Linked DNA regions of Macaca fascicularis. The protein of the gene in region 1 purifies or fractionates together with the protein of each later gene. This does not show direct contact. Links are inferred from orthologs where the notes say so. Each region holds a gene or a part of one and is shown in the gene's direction. Other genes may lie near its edges.

The links.
Region 2: the proteins of EIF4E (region 1) and ANGEL1 purify together in Homo sapiens (affinity purification with mass spectrometry; 3 studies listed by BioGRID and IntAct, counting the BioPlex papers as one, with this or other methods). This does not show direct contact. The link is inferred for Macaca fascicularis from reciprocal best matches to the Homo sapiens genes EIF4E and ANGEL1.
Region 3: the proteins of EIF4E (region 1) and DDX3X purify together in Homo sapiens (co-immunoprecipitation; 3 studies listed by BioGRID and IntAct, with this or other methods). This does not show direct contact. The link is inferred for Macaca fascicularis from reciprocal best matches to the Homo sapiens genes EIF4E and DDX3X.

What each region holds. Positions count from the first base shown.
Region 1 is NC_088379.1:104,464,487-104,469,654, reverse strand, and holds the end of EIF4E (eukaryotic translation initiation factor 4E), read left to right. Parts: intron 1-2,830; coding exon 2,831-2,945; 3' UTR 2,946-4,283; downstream 4,284-5,168. UniProt on the Homo sapiens protein: Acts in the cytoplasm to initiate and regulate protein synthesis and is required in the nucleus for export of a subset of mRNAs from the nucleus to the cytoplasm which promotes processes such as RNA capping, processing and splicing.
Region 2 is NC_088381.1:144,762,082-144,767,149, reverse strand, and holds part of ANGEL1 (protein angel homolog 1), read left to right. Parts: intron 1-199; coding exon 200-426; intron 427-842; coding exon 843-912; intron 913-1,499; coding exon 1,500-1,933; intron 1,934-3,826; coding exon of another isoform or gene 3,827-3,937; exon of another isoform or gene 3,938-4,039; intron 4,040-4,408; coding exon 4,409-4,535; intron 4,536-4,835; coding exon 4,836-4,946; intron 4,947-5,068.
Region 3 is NC_088395.1:41,333,944-41,339,082, forward strand, and holds the start of DDX3X (ATP-dependent RNA helicase DDX3X), read left to right. Parts: upstream 1-1,251; 5' UTR 1,252-1,344; coding exon 1,345-1,389; intron 1,390-4,441; coding exon 4,442-4,499; intron 4,500-5,139. UniProt on the Homo sapiens protein: Multifunctional ATP-dependent RNA helicase. The ATPase activity can be stimulated by various ribo-and deoxynucleic acids indicative for a relaxed substrate specificity.

The sequences.
Region 1 (5,168 bases):
GTAGCATTTTTTATTCATTCACAAATGAGAATGTATTATTTCCTACTTTGAAAGTGCTGTTTGAAAAAAAGTACTACTTTGAAAAGAGCTAATGTATGCTCATAATAAATAATTCAGTGATTATTGGCAAATAGTGTATGTGTATTTAAAGCATGTGTGTTTACTACATATAATTTTCATTAAAATTTAACATACTTTGGCTTTTGTTCGATGTTTAAAACCCACATGTAGGGTTTTATTAAACCTTTTTTTGTAAATTTTATTCTTTGCAAAAATGGCTTTTTTTTTTTTTTTTTTTTTTGAAGCAGGGTCTCACTGTGTTATTTAGGCAAGAGTGCAGTGGTGCAGTCACGGCTCACTGCAGCCTCAACCTCCTGGGCTCAGGTGATCCTCCCACCTCAGCCACCCAATTAGCTGGAACTCAGGTGTGTACAACCACACCTGGCTATTCTCTTGTATTTTTTGTAGAGAAGAGGTTTTGCCATGTTGCCGAGACTGGTTGTGAACTCCTGGACTTGATCAAACCACCTCAGCCTTTCAAAGTGCTGAGATTACAGGCATGAGCCACCATGCTAAACCAGCTGGCATTTCTAACTAGGATTTCTTTTTACCTCAATTATATTAGTAATATTTGACGCTGGGCGCGGTGGCTCATACCTGTAATCCCAGCACTTTGGGAGGCCAAGGCAGGCAGATCACGAGATCGGGAGATCGAGACCATCCTGGCTAATACGGTGAAACCCCGTCTCTACTGAAAATACAAAAAAAAAAACATTAGCTGGGCATGGTGGCGGGTGCCTGTAGTCCCAGCTACTCGGGAGGCTGAGGCAGGAGAATGGCGTGAACCTGGGAGGCGGAGCTTGCAGTGAGCCAAGATTGGGCCACTGCATTCCAGCCTGGGAGACAGAGTGAGACACCGTCTCACCAAAAAAAAAAAAAAAAAAAATATGTTAAAATTAAGTGCTGGTCAGTCAGTGGTCACAAAATGTTTGGTTTGTCCCTTTGTGATTTTTCAAATATTATTAATTTTTCTTTTTAAAATTAATTTTTGAGACAGAGTCACACTCCGTTGCCCAGGCCAGGGTGCAGTATCGTGATCTCGGCTCACTGCAACCTCCACCTCTTGGGTTCAAGTGATTCTCTTGCCTCAGCCTCCTGAATAGCTGGGACCAGAAGCCTGAGCCACTACAGTAGTTTTTGTGGAGACAGGGTTTCGCCATGTTGGCCAGACTGGTGTCAAACTCTTGTGCTCAAGTGATCCACCTGCCTCAGCCTTCCAAAGTGCTGGGATTTCAGGTGTGATCCACTGCTCTCAGCCATGTAAATTTCTCTGTGAACATAATTTATTTCTGGGTCAAAAGGTATAGGGATTTTCTACATTTCATGCTATATGGGGTTCCATAAGAGAAAGGAGTTGATTTGTCATCTTATTTTAATGTTTCTGCCAGCATCAAAACCTAATTTTGGAGGACTTACTTTTTTTTTTTTAAAAAACAAGAGTTAGATTAATTAAGAATTTTTTTCCTATGGAAGTTTTTTATTTTTGTCACTATTAAATGTTTTTGAGTCTATATTAAGACTTCAGATTTTCAAACAAAGATTTTCTTTTTTTAACCGTTCCAATTTGCATGACTCAATGGTCATGGCTTTTGGTATTTTTAATAATTAAGTATAATTGAAAGGAATGCATGTATTATAATGCAAATTTGATAATTATCACTTTAGTTACCATAAAATTACTTTTTAATGCCTTATTTTAGGGGGAAGGTAGTAAATCTCCTGGAAGGTATTAAAAAAAACTATCCTAGTATCGTGTTGGAGGATTTAACTCCATTAATATGTTTATTCCTTTATTTTTATTTGATTTTGCTTATTTTTCAATTTTTACTATTTTTTCTTAAAGATTCAGATTTTTAAGGTGACTTATGAAGTTTTCTGTGATCTTTCTTTGAAACCTTGTCAGCTTTATCTCATATTCACTTTACTTACAAGCCATAGTCACACAGCCTGATTTTTATTTCTCAGCTTTCAGATGTGCTCATTATCTTAACATTATCCTTTTGACCTTGTGATATTTAAAGGGGAAGACTTCTCTAATTTTGTAGATGAGATTAGAATCTCCTTGTTATTACAGCCCTTGTATTTACTCTTTGGCACTCATGACAAGTGCCATTTTATTCTTGCTGTAGAGTCATGTCTTACTTGAAAATTAGGTTGTAAAGTTAGTATGTAAAGCAGAAATTACTTTCTCCCTTGAAGTGTTTCATTTTAATCTCCCTCAAAGTGTTTAGTTTTTGTTTGTGCAATCTTATAACAGGTATGGTAAATATAATTTGTGTAGTAATATACAATATTTGCTAGGGTTCAGACGTGAAATGTAGCATTTTAGATCAAAGAATGAAAATAAACATGTTTGTTATACAGATTTCTGTTTTAAGTATGCATGTAATACAGGTCCATCATATGTATTTGTGATTTTGTGTTTACTAGACTATAAATACAGTGAGCTCAGGGACTGTCCTTGCTTTGTTCACTATTGATTTAGTAATAATTATAGTATCATAATAAATAACAGTATAATAATATAGTAATGCTCCTGTAATTTAGTAATAATAAACCCGACTGGCTCTCAATATTTTAAAAGTAATTATCCAAGAATATCGCAAAAATGAAAAGTAAATTATGCTAAAAGGAAAAGGGTGTATAATTTCCTATTGTACTCTCATCTATATTTTTTAATACAAAGACTAGTAACCCTAAAATTTTGAATTTATTTACTTCTTATGAGTAAAAATTAATGGCTACTTTTTTCTTCTTTTTTTTCTTCTAGGAGGGTATACAAGGAAAGGTTAGGACTTCCTCCAAAGATAGTGATTGGTTATCAGTCCCACGCAGACACAGCTACTAAGAGCGGCTCCACCACTAAAAATAGGTTTGTTGTTTAAGAAGACACCTTCTGAGTATTCTCATAGGAGACTGCGTCAAGCAATCGAGATTTGGGAGCTGAACCAAAGCCTCTTCAAAAAGCAGAGTGGACTGCATTTAAATTTGATTTCCATCTAAACGTTACTAAGATATAAGAGAAGTCTCATTCGCCTTTGTCTTGTACTTCTGTGTTCACTTTTTTTTTTTTTTTTTTTTTTTTGGCTAAAGTTTCCACTATCCCAATCAAAGAATTACAGTACACATCCCCAGAATCCATAAATATGTTCCTGGCCCACTCTGTAATACTTCAGTAGAATTACCATTAATTACATACAGATTTTACCTATCCACAATAGTCAAAAAACAACTTGGCATTACTATACTTTACAGGAAAGAAAATTCTGTTGTTCCATTGTATGCAGGAGCATATTTGCTGGTTTGAAAGATTATGATGCATACAGTTTTCTGGCAATTTTCTTTGTTTTTACAGCATTGTCTTTGCTGTACTACCTATCCACAATAGTCAAAAGACATCTTGGCATTACTGTACTTTACAGGAAAGAAAATTCTGTTGTTCCATTGTATGCAGGAGCATATTTTGCTGGTTTGAAAGATTATGATGCATACAGTTTTCTAGCAATTTTCTTTGTTTCTTTTTACAGCATTGTCTTTGCTGTACTCTTGCTGATGGCTGCTAGATTTTAATTTATTTGTTTCCCTACTTGATAATATTAGTGATTCTGATTTCAGTTTTTCATTTGTTTTGCTTTTGTTTTTTTCCTCATGTAACATTGGTGAAGGATTCAGGAATATGACACAAAGGTGGAATAAACATTAATTTTGTGCATTCTTTGGTAATTTTTTTTGTTTTTTGTAACTACAAAGCTTTGCTACAAATTTATGCATTTCATTCAAATCAGTGATCTATGTTTGTGTGATTTCCTAAACATAATTGTGGATTATAAAAAATGTAACATCATAATTACATTCCTAACTAGAATTAGTATGTCTGTTTTTGTATCTTTATGCTGTATTTTAACACTTTGTATTACTTAGGTTATTTTGCTTTGGTTAAAAATGGCTCAAGTAGAAAAGCAGTCCCATTCATATTAAGACAGTGTACAAAACTGTAAATAAAATGTGTACAGTGAATTGTCTTTTAGACAACTAGATTTGTCCTTTTATTTCTCCATCTTTATAGAAGGAATTTGTACTTCTTATTGCAAGGCAGTCTCTATATTATGTCTTCTTTTGTGGTGTCTTCCATGTGAACAGCATAAGTTTGGAGCACTAGTTTGATTATTATGTTTATTACAATTTTTAATAAATTGAATAGGTAGTATATATATGGAATTAAATTGATGTGGCTATCTTTGTTTTTTATAAAGTAAGGCACAGTCCTTCAGTCTTAGGTAAATAATGTACTCTCTTAATATGTTAATACTCATGAGAATTGGGATCTGATGCATCACCATTTGATTGGTAGCAACAGTGGTTGTAAAACTTGGTTGCTGAATTGAGTTGTTTTTATGTAAGTGTCAAAATGATAGTGTAGGGAAAGTACAGGTGGTGGGAACATAATGCATTAAGAATTTTGTTAGTGTTGCAATCTAAATAGAATGGAATAAACAGGTATTAAGACATATTTATAGTGGTAAATTGTTGTAGTATGGTATTCTGTAAACTTGAAAACTTGATCTACTCTTTGTAGGTATCATTTGAAAGCAAACTTGAAAATGTTTTGTACATAGTACATACTTGTATAGTCCTGTGAAATGAAGTATGGCTATCAGACCAAAGGATAAGCCAAACTGTAGGTAGCAGAATGGAAATTATTAGTTTGAGAGGAAAATTTTGTCTTTTAATGGTGATTATGACTTAATCATTTTAAAACTGATAAACTTGACAAAAACCCTGTATGAAATAAACATGAAATTAATAGCACTGATTTCATTGTAAAATTTTAAAGCAGTTTAAAGGGTACCACAGGTTGTCACAGTACTCTCAATGCCATAAACACCTCTTGTTCAGTATTCTAGAAATACTGAATCTTCTGTGTTTATTATTATTATAATCTCAGCATACTGTATGTAATATCTGCTAGTTAAACTTGGGGAATTGGTTAAGCTGACTTACTGTCTACATTAATATGTATAGTTTTGAGTACTTCAAGAGTTTGCTTAAAAGTGATGCTGTTAGTGGTATGTTGGCAATGGGTGGGACCGAAGTGGTGTAGCTATTAT
Region 2 (5,068 bases), on another chromosome or scaffold:
TGGAGCTAACCATGTCATCTGAAGAATGTCCATAGAGTGCTGCTCAATTACCCACAGAGAGGGATGGGTGACAGGGCAGATGGTAAAAGGAACTTCAGGCATAATATTACTGAGTCAGGAGTAATGGTGCCTGAGGAGATGGTGGTGCCTCTGCATTACTTGTACTTGCCATGGAATACTTCTCCCAATCCCTTTTCAGAAATTTTGTGGCGAGAATGGGAGGATTTCTCCACCCAGCCAGATGCTCAGGGCCTGAAGCCAGGAGATGGCCCTCAGTTCCAGTTCACTCTGATGTCTTATAACATCCTGGCTCAGGACCTGATGCAGCAGAGCTCAGAGCTCTATCTACATTGCCATCCGGACATCCTCAATTGGAACTATCGCTTCATGAACCTCATGCAGGAATTCCAGCACTGGGACCCCGATGTGAGTGAGGGGGGAGTTGCCATCTTGCATTGTTGCTGGACCTGGGCTGTTTCCCAGTGCTCTTAGAAGATGAGTTCAACCCCATAGTTGTTCAAATGATTGGAGTCCTATCTAGGGTTAGAGTTTGCCTGCCTGGTGTCAGTGAGTTGTTGGCAGATGCTGAGAAGAATCTCCCTAGGTGTGCACTTTCCAGCACCTTTATGCAGGAAGGGAGGCTTGAGGGATTCAAGGAGCAGGAAAATCCAGTGCACATGTCTAATCTCTTCAGCTTAGGTCTGGGCCTGCTCTTGCTGTTGGTGACTGGGAAGTTTCACTGTGACCCAGCAGCTTCCTACCTGGCCTCAGGACCTGCTCCTAGAGGGTGGGGGTCACATTCCAGCACTCCAGAGTGATTGGGTTTCTTGTCAATTTCCCAGATCCTGTGTCTCCAGGAAGTCCAGGAAGATCATTACTGGGAGCAGCTGGAACCCTCTCTGCGAATGATGGGTAATGCAGCTCCCTGGGATGCTTGCCAGCTTTTCTTTCTACAGCCTTGCCTACTCTCTCCTGAAGACCCCATCCTTCCCTTTTGTCTTGGTAAACCCTCAGTTGCACCTGTGAGCTAGCTCCTTCCATGTGTGCCTGAGAAAGTAGAATTCTGCAGTTTTAAAGCAATTCTGACATACATTGCTATTTGATCCTTGAAGTAACCAATGTGGTGAGACTGTTATTATTCCCATTTTACAGATGAGAAAACTGAATTTCTGAAAATTCGTGTGACTTCCTCAGAATCACAAAGCCACAAAGCTAGTAGATGTGGAGCTAGGAATCCAGCTTGTCTGACTCTAGATTCTGGGCTCTTTTCTATCATGTTACATTGCTTCATACCCTTCCCTCCTTGCCCTTCCAGCCCCTCAGTCACCTAGTTACAACTGTAAGGGGGAACCTGCTGAACCAAGGACGTGGCAAAGGCTTCTTTACTGAGTAGCAGGAACAATGCCTCAGGGGCACACACTGGGACTGCTGGTGCTGGTTGGAAGGGATTCAGGCTTTAAGGACTCTGACCCATCTCCTTGGTGGGGTTTTCCTTGCAGGCTTTACCTGTTTCTACAAGAGGAGGACCGGGTGTAAAACCGATGGCTGTGCTGTTTGCTACAAGCCCACCAGATTCCGCCTGCTTTGTGCCAGCCCTGTGGAGTACTTCCGGCCTGGCTTGGAGCTACTTAATCGGGATAATGTGGGCTTAGTGTTGCTACTGCAACCACTCGTCCCAGAAGGCCTGGGGCAAGTCTCGGTGGCCCCGCTGTGTGTGGCAAATACCCATATCCTTTACAACCCACGCCGGGGTGATGTCAAGCTGGCCCAGATGGCCATTCTCCTGGCAGAAGTGGACAAGGTGGCCAGATTGTCAGATGGCAGCCACTGCCCCATCATCTTGTGCGGGGACCTAAATTCTGTCCCTGATTCACCTCTCTACAACTTCATCAGGGATGGAGAGCTCCAGTACCATGGGATGCCAGCCTGGAAGGTGAAATGGGAGAGGCCACAGTGGGGGTGGGAACATGGTCTAGAGAGAGATTCAGCTGTGAGCATCAGTGCTGCTTCTGTGGCAGGGACCTCAGTACACCTGCTCTGGCCTGTTCCTCCTTTTTCTTGTTATGTTGAATAGCTTGTACCCAAGCCTGGAAGTTAAGAATTCTTGAGTACTTTGGCATGTTGGGATTTTTTTCAGTTTTTATCATTAATATTTTTAATTCACAAGTAGTACGTGAGTATGTACTTGGAGGAACTTAAGCATTATACAGTAAGGCACAGGCCTGTTTTATTACCCACATTCCCTTTCTATTCTCTTAGAGTCACATAATGACCGTTCTAAGTTTGGTGGTAGTCTTTTAGCTTGTTTTCTTTGCATTTACAGTGGTATCTATGTTCCTATGATATTGTAATCGGTGTTTACATTTGTTAAGCACTTAACTCTGTGCCATGTGCTATTTTGAGCACTTTATACTCATTAACTCATTAGTTTTCACAATTTCCATCATGGCTTTCATTTTATAAATGAGGAAACTAAAGCCCAGAAAAGTGAAGTAATTTGCCATAGGTTATGTGGGTAGTTAGTGGTGGAGCCAGGATTTGTAACCAGGTGGTCTGGCTGCAGAGCTCTTACCCTCAAATACTGTGCTGTGATTGCTTATAACAGCCAATATGCAATCTGCCATGTGTGTTTTATAAACATGATACACTACTATATGTTTCATTTGTAGCTTGTTTTTTTCCACTCAGCAATTTGCATATGGATCTCATTCCTTCTAACTGTTGAGTGTTGATGACAGACACCTCATAGTTTTATCAGCTTGTGCTGATTTCTTTATGTCACTTAATCTCCTTGTTCCTCTATTTTGCCCCTGCTGTTTCAATTTATTGACTAACTTTTGGCAAGGCACGATGGTGGAAGGACACAAAACGATTGAATTACTGTTGCGCACATGGGATTTTATGTAAATGAGCCAGATGTGTGCAGAGAAAGGCATGATCTTGCCCTAAAGGAGCTGTAATCAAGGAGCTCAGGGAACGAGGAAAAGAACGGACTGCCTGCCACATGACAGGCACTGTTAGGCATAGTGAATGAGAGCACTTGCTTTGAAGCCAGACAGTCCTGAATTCAGATCCCTGCTCTGCCACCTTGAGCAAATTACTTAACTTTCTTAAACCCAATTTGCCTCATCTATACAATGGGGGATATAATGGGACCTGCCTCAGAGGTGTTTTTTTGGGTGAATTAAATAAAATAATGCGTGTAAAGTGTTTTCCAGTATCTGGTTCAAAGTCAGTAACTGGTAGTGATATTAAGATTCTTAACTGTACATGGTATTATTATCCCATTTTATTTTTTTATTTATTTATATTTTGAGACAGAGTCTTGCTCTGTTGCCCAGGCTGGAGTGCAATGGCATGATCTTGGCTCACTGCAACCTCCGCCTCCTGGGTTCATGTGATTCTCCTGCCTCAGCCTCCTGAGTAGCTGGGATTACAGGAGTGTGCCACCATGCTTGGCTAATTTTTGTATTTTTAGTAGAGACGGGGTTTTACCATGTTGGCCAGGCTGGTCTTGAACTCCTGAACTCAGGTGATCCACCTACCTTGGCCTCCTGAAGTGCTGGGATTACAGGCATGAGCCACTGCTTCTGGCCTATCCCGTTTTATAGTAGGAGATATTGAACCCAAGAGAGTTAGCTAACTTGCCCAAAGTCACACAGCTATTAAGTGGCCATTGAATTGCAGATCTGTTTTACTTCAGATGACATATTGAAAATTTATGCCCTTATAGGGCAGGGGGATTCTGTCTATCACTACTCTATCCCCAGCACTTAGCTAGTGTCTTTTGGCTTTCAAATATTTGTTGTTGTTAAATGGCATAAAGGGACTTGCTACACACGTTGGAGATGTGCAGATGACTGATGTTGCCGAATGTTTCCCCTACTACGTTTTGTCCGTTCCCAGGCTGCTCATTGGCTTTGACCGAGGATGGTGACGTAGATACGGTAAAGTGCTTTGGTGCTTTCCCATTTGGTTTGACCCTGTGGTTTCCCAGTAATAGGTTCAGGATATTAGACCTTGATCCAGAAGATCCAAAGATGAGGATAAACCTTTAACCATTGCAACTTAAAGCCCCTGAGAGTTGATATTCCCTGTGGAGGAGAATTGTATTGATTTTTTGGAGGTAAAATTTAGAGAACCACATGTTCATACTATTCGATTCCCCTTGATTCAGTCTCTTATCCTCCTCCTGTTTCATGGACATTTCAGTGTTGCCAGTGAAAAAGTAATGGTTTTAATTTGGTCCTTATTTTTAACCTGCCCCTGAGACTTACATGCTTGCTTATACCATGTATGTAGTGTGTGATTGTGTGTGTTTGTATTTGTCCACATGTCCCAAAACATGGGCTGTTATTTCCTTTTTCTATCTTGGTTTCCTTATTCCCACCCTGCTCTTTCCTTGCAGGTATCTGGACAGGAAGACTTCTCTCATCAGCTTTACCAGAGGAAGCTGCAGGCCCCCCTGTGGCCCAGCTCCCTGGGCATCACTGATTGCTGTCAGTATGTCTCCTCCTGTCACCCCAAGAGATCAGGTGAGCACACGTCACATTCTTGGTTGGCTGTGTCTTCGTGTCCATTTTGGGAGAAAGCTGGTGTCTCAATGACAAGAAAAAGTGTAATCCCTCATTTCTCTTAGCATATTCTTCTGTTTTCTCACTGTCCTCCCAATGGCCGTCCAATAAAATGGACAACTTTAAATCACAGCCATTGGAAAATCTCCTTGTCTTCTGAATCCTTCCTCTGTGGATCTATGCTGGAAGTTGCTTGGTACTAAGGAGGTCTCAGCATGTTGCTTCATCTTCTTTCACTATATGGCTTTTCCTGGTTTACAGAGAGACGCAAGTATGGTCGAGACTTCCTGCTACGTTTCCGCTTCTGCGGCATCGCTTGTCAGCGACCAGTAGGATTGGTCCTCATGGAAGGGGTGACAGATACTAAGCCAGGTAATGGAAACTAATCCCAGTTTCTTGGTCTTCTTTCTTCTTCACTCCTGATGTTTGTCAGTTATGTGGTTTCCTGCTCTTTTCTAAGTATAGTTCTTAGAGATTAGCTTCTGGTAATACGT
Region 3 (5,139 bases), on another chromosome or scaffold:
TCCTCATACACCGCAGCGGCCTGAGGGTCACCCCGAGCCCAGGCCGGTAACCCCGCTGCAGCCCCTCCTGCAGGCCCAGGTTGCACCGACCACAAACATTCCCGACACCCTTGGGCCCTAGAAGAGCCGTTCGCCACCCGCAGGCTCCCCGCAACGCCGGTGTTCACCTGCCCTAAGCAGCTGGGTGCCCAGCGAGAAGCAGCTAGGGGCAAATGTAGCCCGCATTCCTGCGGAGGGCAGGGGTCCCGGGAGGGCGCGCCAGCGGCGGCTCTGGATCAGCGCGTGACTGTCTCATTGTTCCCTCACCGCGGGGGGTGGGGGCGCGCGCGCACACGTCGGGGGGTTGGCCGGGAGGGGCCATTGTGTGTTTCTAGGCGGCGCCCCCGCTGCCTAGGCAACAGCGCAGGGAGGTGTCGGGCCACCAGCGCGCCGCCGGCTCCCCTCCATTTCCCCCCGACTCCCGCCCCGTCACCATCCTACCCTCCTCCCTCCTCCTTTCCCCTTCCTCCGCTCCCCTCTTTTTCCTCCCCCTCCTCCCCTTCCCTCTGTTCTCTCCTCCTCTTCCCCGCCCCCCCGTCCCGAGCACTCTATATTCAAGCCACCGTTTCCTGCTTCACAAAATGGCCACCGCACGCGACACCTGCGGTCACGTGGCCTGCCGCCCTCTCGGTTTCGGGACTGTCTGCCTAGCTCCGACTTCGGGGAGGCTACATGCGGAAGACCGAGGGCAGATTAGACCGGAGAAATCCCACCACATCTCCAAGCCCGGGAACTGAGAAAGGAAGAAGAGTGAAGGCCAGTGTTGGAAAAAAAAAAAAAAAGAAAAACAAAAAAAACCCAAGAAAAAAACCCCGAAAAACTAAAGCTGAGTGCATAGGGTTGGAAAGGGGAGCGAAGAGGCCTAGGTTAACATTTCCAGGCCTTTTAGCTGGTGGTAAACGGGAAACGCAAGTTCTCGCGAGATCTCGAGACCTCCGAGGCTGAGACTACGGTTTTAGCGGAGAGCACGGGAAGTGTAGCTCGGGAGAACTGGGACAGCATTTGGCGCTCCAAGCTCCAAGACAGGACTGCTAGGGGCGACGGGACTAAGTAGGAAATCCCGTGAGGTTAGACCTGAGGGAGCGCGCAGTAGCCGGGCATTAGTCGCCGCGACAGGGGATTGCAGTGTGAGAGGGAGGGCACACGTTGTACGTGCTGACGTAGCGGGCTTTCAAGCGGGTATATTAGATCCGTGGCCGCGCGGTGCGCTCCAGAGCCGCAGTTCTCCCGTGAGAGGGCCTTCGCGGTGGAACAGACACACTCGCTTAGCAGCGGAAGACTCCGAGTTCTCGGTACTCTTCAGGGATGAGTCATGTGGCGGTGGAAAATGCGCTCGGGCTGGACCAGCAGGTGAGCCGCAAGGACCCCACTGGGCTGGCTGCTGCGTGAATCCCTCCTCTGACCTAACCTGGCTAATGGCGCAGCGCTAACCGGGACCCTTACTTTTCATTTCCTGGGTGCCCCGGGGCTATGGAGGGACAGGAACGTTGGTTGGGGCTGTCGCCCGGGCCCGGTCTCGGCCCGCTGTATTGTCCCCGGGACGAGCACAATGGCGGCTTTTGTGTGTGCGTGCGCAGGCGGGCGGAGGGGGGAGGGAGTGCGCGTGCTCTCGCGGGGACGCGCATGCGCGAACCCCGACTGATTAGTGACCGGGGGGGTGGTTTGCGGGAGTGCGCAGCGCGGCGGGACGCGACTGGAGACCCTTTTGGCCTGGAGGGTTTCGGCCTTCACGGCTGGCGCAGCCTGGATTACCGTCTGGAGGACCCGGCGGCATTCGGTGTTTGCGTGCCTGCGAGCAAGGGGTGGAACGCGGCCCAGGAATGTGGGAGGGGGCGGCGCGGCGGGGAGGGGGTGGCCTTCGCTTGGGGTAATGGCGGCGGTCTCTTTTGTGTGGTGCTGGGAGGCGCTGTGGCTCACTCCCGGGAGACGGCGGGTCCCGGGCGGGCGAGGGCCTGGAAAGGAGGATGGAATGGGCGTCTTGTTTTTCCCGGGTTCCTTCCGCAGGCCTTTTCGCTTCAGCCCAGGTTCCGCAGGGTCCGCAGGCCCGGCGCCGCGGCCGGGGAGGCTGCGTTTCCGGAGTGGAAAGTTTTGTGACGCAGAAGATTGGGGAGGAGTGGGGGCGGGGAGGGGAGGCAGGAATGGGCCGCTGGGCTCTGAAGATAGAGGTTAGACGCGGCGGGGAGGTTAGCCAGCGAGGCCCTTTCTCCTCCTTGCTTGGCCCAGGTTGTCCCTGTGTGGCGAGTTAGCCGGGAGCCCCGCGTTTTTCTGGAGTGGAGGGGTCATCGCGGGTTGTGGGAGTGTCTTCATGTTAGTGACTTTGATCCAGGAATCCGCCTTTGGAAAAACACCCGGCTTTTGGGGGAAGTAAACAGTTTTGTTGTTGACTTGTTGCTGCCTGTGGAGTAGAATCTCGCGATGGGTCCGAGGCCCCCCCAGTCTTTTAGACAGAATCTCCTCTTCTAAGGATTTAGGGGCAGAGGAGAGGAGGACGTGTGATCTGAGAGAAGGTTTTGGGTTTTGGTGGCAGGAAGACTGCATCCCGCCGCAACAGTGGCACCACGTTTCAGATAAGCTCTTGTGTGGGTTATGCGGAGCCTTTAAATACACTTCTGATTAGGAGTTGATTTCACAAACTCCGGAATAATCCTGGGACTAAGTTTAGTGGCACAAATTAATTGAATACGTATTTTAATGTAGTCATATGTAATATTTTTTAGGAATTGATCTGTTCCTTTGGGAGCATTTTCTCCCTGTTAATGAACCAATTATATTAAATCCTCTAATTGTTGACACTTCATATGTTGAATTGAACACAGACATTTTAACAATCTACCAGCAGCACAGAGTATTCCCAGTTTTACCATTTTCCATTTAGCTACAGTGTCCTTTTAAGGATTCTAGGCAGCAGTGAACCTTATTTAAAAAGCAAAATTGTACTATAACAAGTGCAAAAGGAAAGTTTGTGGTTCTGCCGTGCTTTAAAGTATTAACGGTAGCAAGAGAAAGCGCGGTGGTGTTTTTTCTCATAGAAATTCTGGAAATTAGGTGCCTGAAGTCTTACACTCAGCATCTGCTTCCAGTTTTCAGTGACTCCATTGATGATGCCTGCAGTTTGGCAGTATCATACTGAGCTTTAAACACAAGATTTATAAACATGGTATATAGTGTATCTTTTGCAAACAGGTTGGCAACGGTACTGTGTAACTTGGTCTTTTGTGGCTTTTTTGAGAAAAATGAAACACTTTGCATGTACAGTTTTTTCCACCAACTACTTGTGAGTAGTTCCTGGTTAGTTATACAACGTTACGAAGGTAGCATATAACCCTTTTCAAGAATGTTGAGGCTTTTGAGATACCAGTGTAAGGGAGATGGGTAGAAATATAGATGAAAGGCACTAAAACGTCCTACTCCCTAAGAGCATTGAATGCCAGTTGTACCATTTATTCAAAGTCATTTTTGAACTTCTGTTACAATGGGGTAATAAACAGGTAACTACTTCAAGCCGGGCTCATGCTTGTAATCCCAGCGCTTTGGGAGGCCAAGGCAGGTGGATCACCTGACCTGAGGTCAGGAGGCCAGCCTGGCCAACATGGCGAAACCCCGTCTCTACTAAAAATACAAAAAGCCTAGCGTGGTGGCGCACCCCTGTAATACCAGCTACTCGGGGAGGCGGAGATTGCAGTGAGCCGAGATCACACCACTGAATTCCAGCCTGGGTGACAGAGGGAGACTCTGTCTCAAAAAAAAAACCAAACGAATTAACAGTCAAACTACCTCAGAGTTGTGCTTAACATAGTGTTTTGTGTAAGTGGTTGGTATATTGCTTTTTTTTGTTGTTCTTAAGAGTACTACCCGACTAAAAATACGTAGGCAATATTTGGGGATGAAGGAACTAAAGAACGGCCAATTCAAAATTTGTCCTGACATTTTTCAGGTGTGCTTTTTAGGTTTAAAATACCAGGTACTACAGAAAGTTGGCGTTGGAAATGTTTATGACTGGCACTAAAACGAATCCCTTATCTATTTGACATTGAAGAATAATTTTGAGGTTCAGTGTAAGCTTTAGTTTGGTGATTAGGGAGCCTGTGCTATGGAACATGTTGCAGTGAAAATTCGTTTTGAATGAATGAATGAAATTTGGACAGTTTCTACTGAATAGCACAAGCATCTTGGTGTACCGCCTTCTGTAGTATATACAATAGTAATATTTTGCATTTGCCTAGAGCGTTACAGATTTGAAAGCATTCTTAGTCACTTTCTCATTAAGAGTTGGTATCAGCCCTGTGAGGTGGACTGGCCAACTACTTGAATGCAGTGCTAGCAAATGCTAGAGGGCGCGACTAGTTTTCTCTTAATACAGTATTTGAGCACATGGGGTGCTAATCATCTCACTCTCTTCTAGTTTGCTGGCCTAGACCTGAACTCTTCAGATAATCAGAGTGGAGGAAGTACAGCCAGCAGTAAGTAAAACATCTTATGGATTTATTGAATATTAGAGCTTAATGTCTTAAGATTTCATTGGGCTTATTTAAAATTTAAGAAATTTGCCTTTCAATTTTTACTGCTTAAAGAATTATGTAGTCTTTGTGTTACAGGGTTATGTAGTACCTAGTGATCAATCTAAAGCATTGTTGCCTTTTTTTTTTTTTTTTTTTTGAGATGGAGCTTTGCTCTTGTTGCCCAGGTTGAAGTGCAGTGGTGTGATCTCGGCTCACTGCAGTCTCTGCCTCTGGGTTCAAGCGATTCTCCTGCCTCAGCCTCCCGAGTAGCTGAGATTACAGGCATGCACCACCACACCTGGCTCATTTTGTATTTTTAGTAGAGATGGGGTTTCTCCATGTTGGTCAGGCTGGTCTCGAACTCCCTACCTCAGGTGATCTACCTGCCTTGGCCTCCCAAAGTGCTGGGATTACAGGCATGAGCCACCGCGCCTGGAGAGCGTCGTCGTTGCCTTTCTAGCTGGCTCTCTTGAGTAAAAGCAGTTAACCATTGAAAGGAACCTTATTATATCATATTATCGCTAGAAGAGTTTTCGTCCATTATAAATCCTGAGCCCAGTTTAGAGGTGATGGGGATGTGTCCCTGTTAACTGACTATATT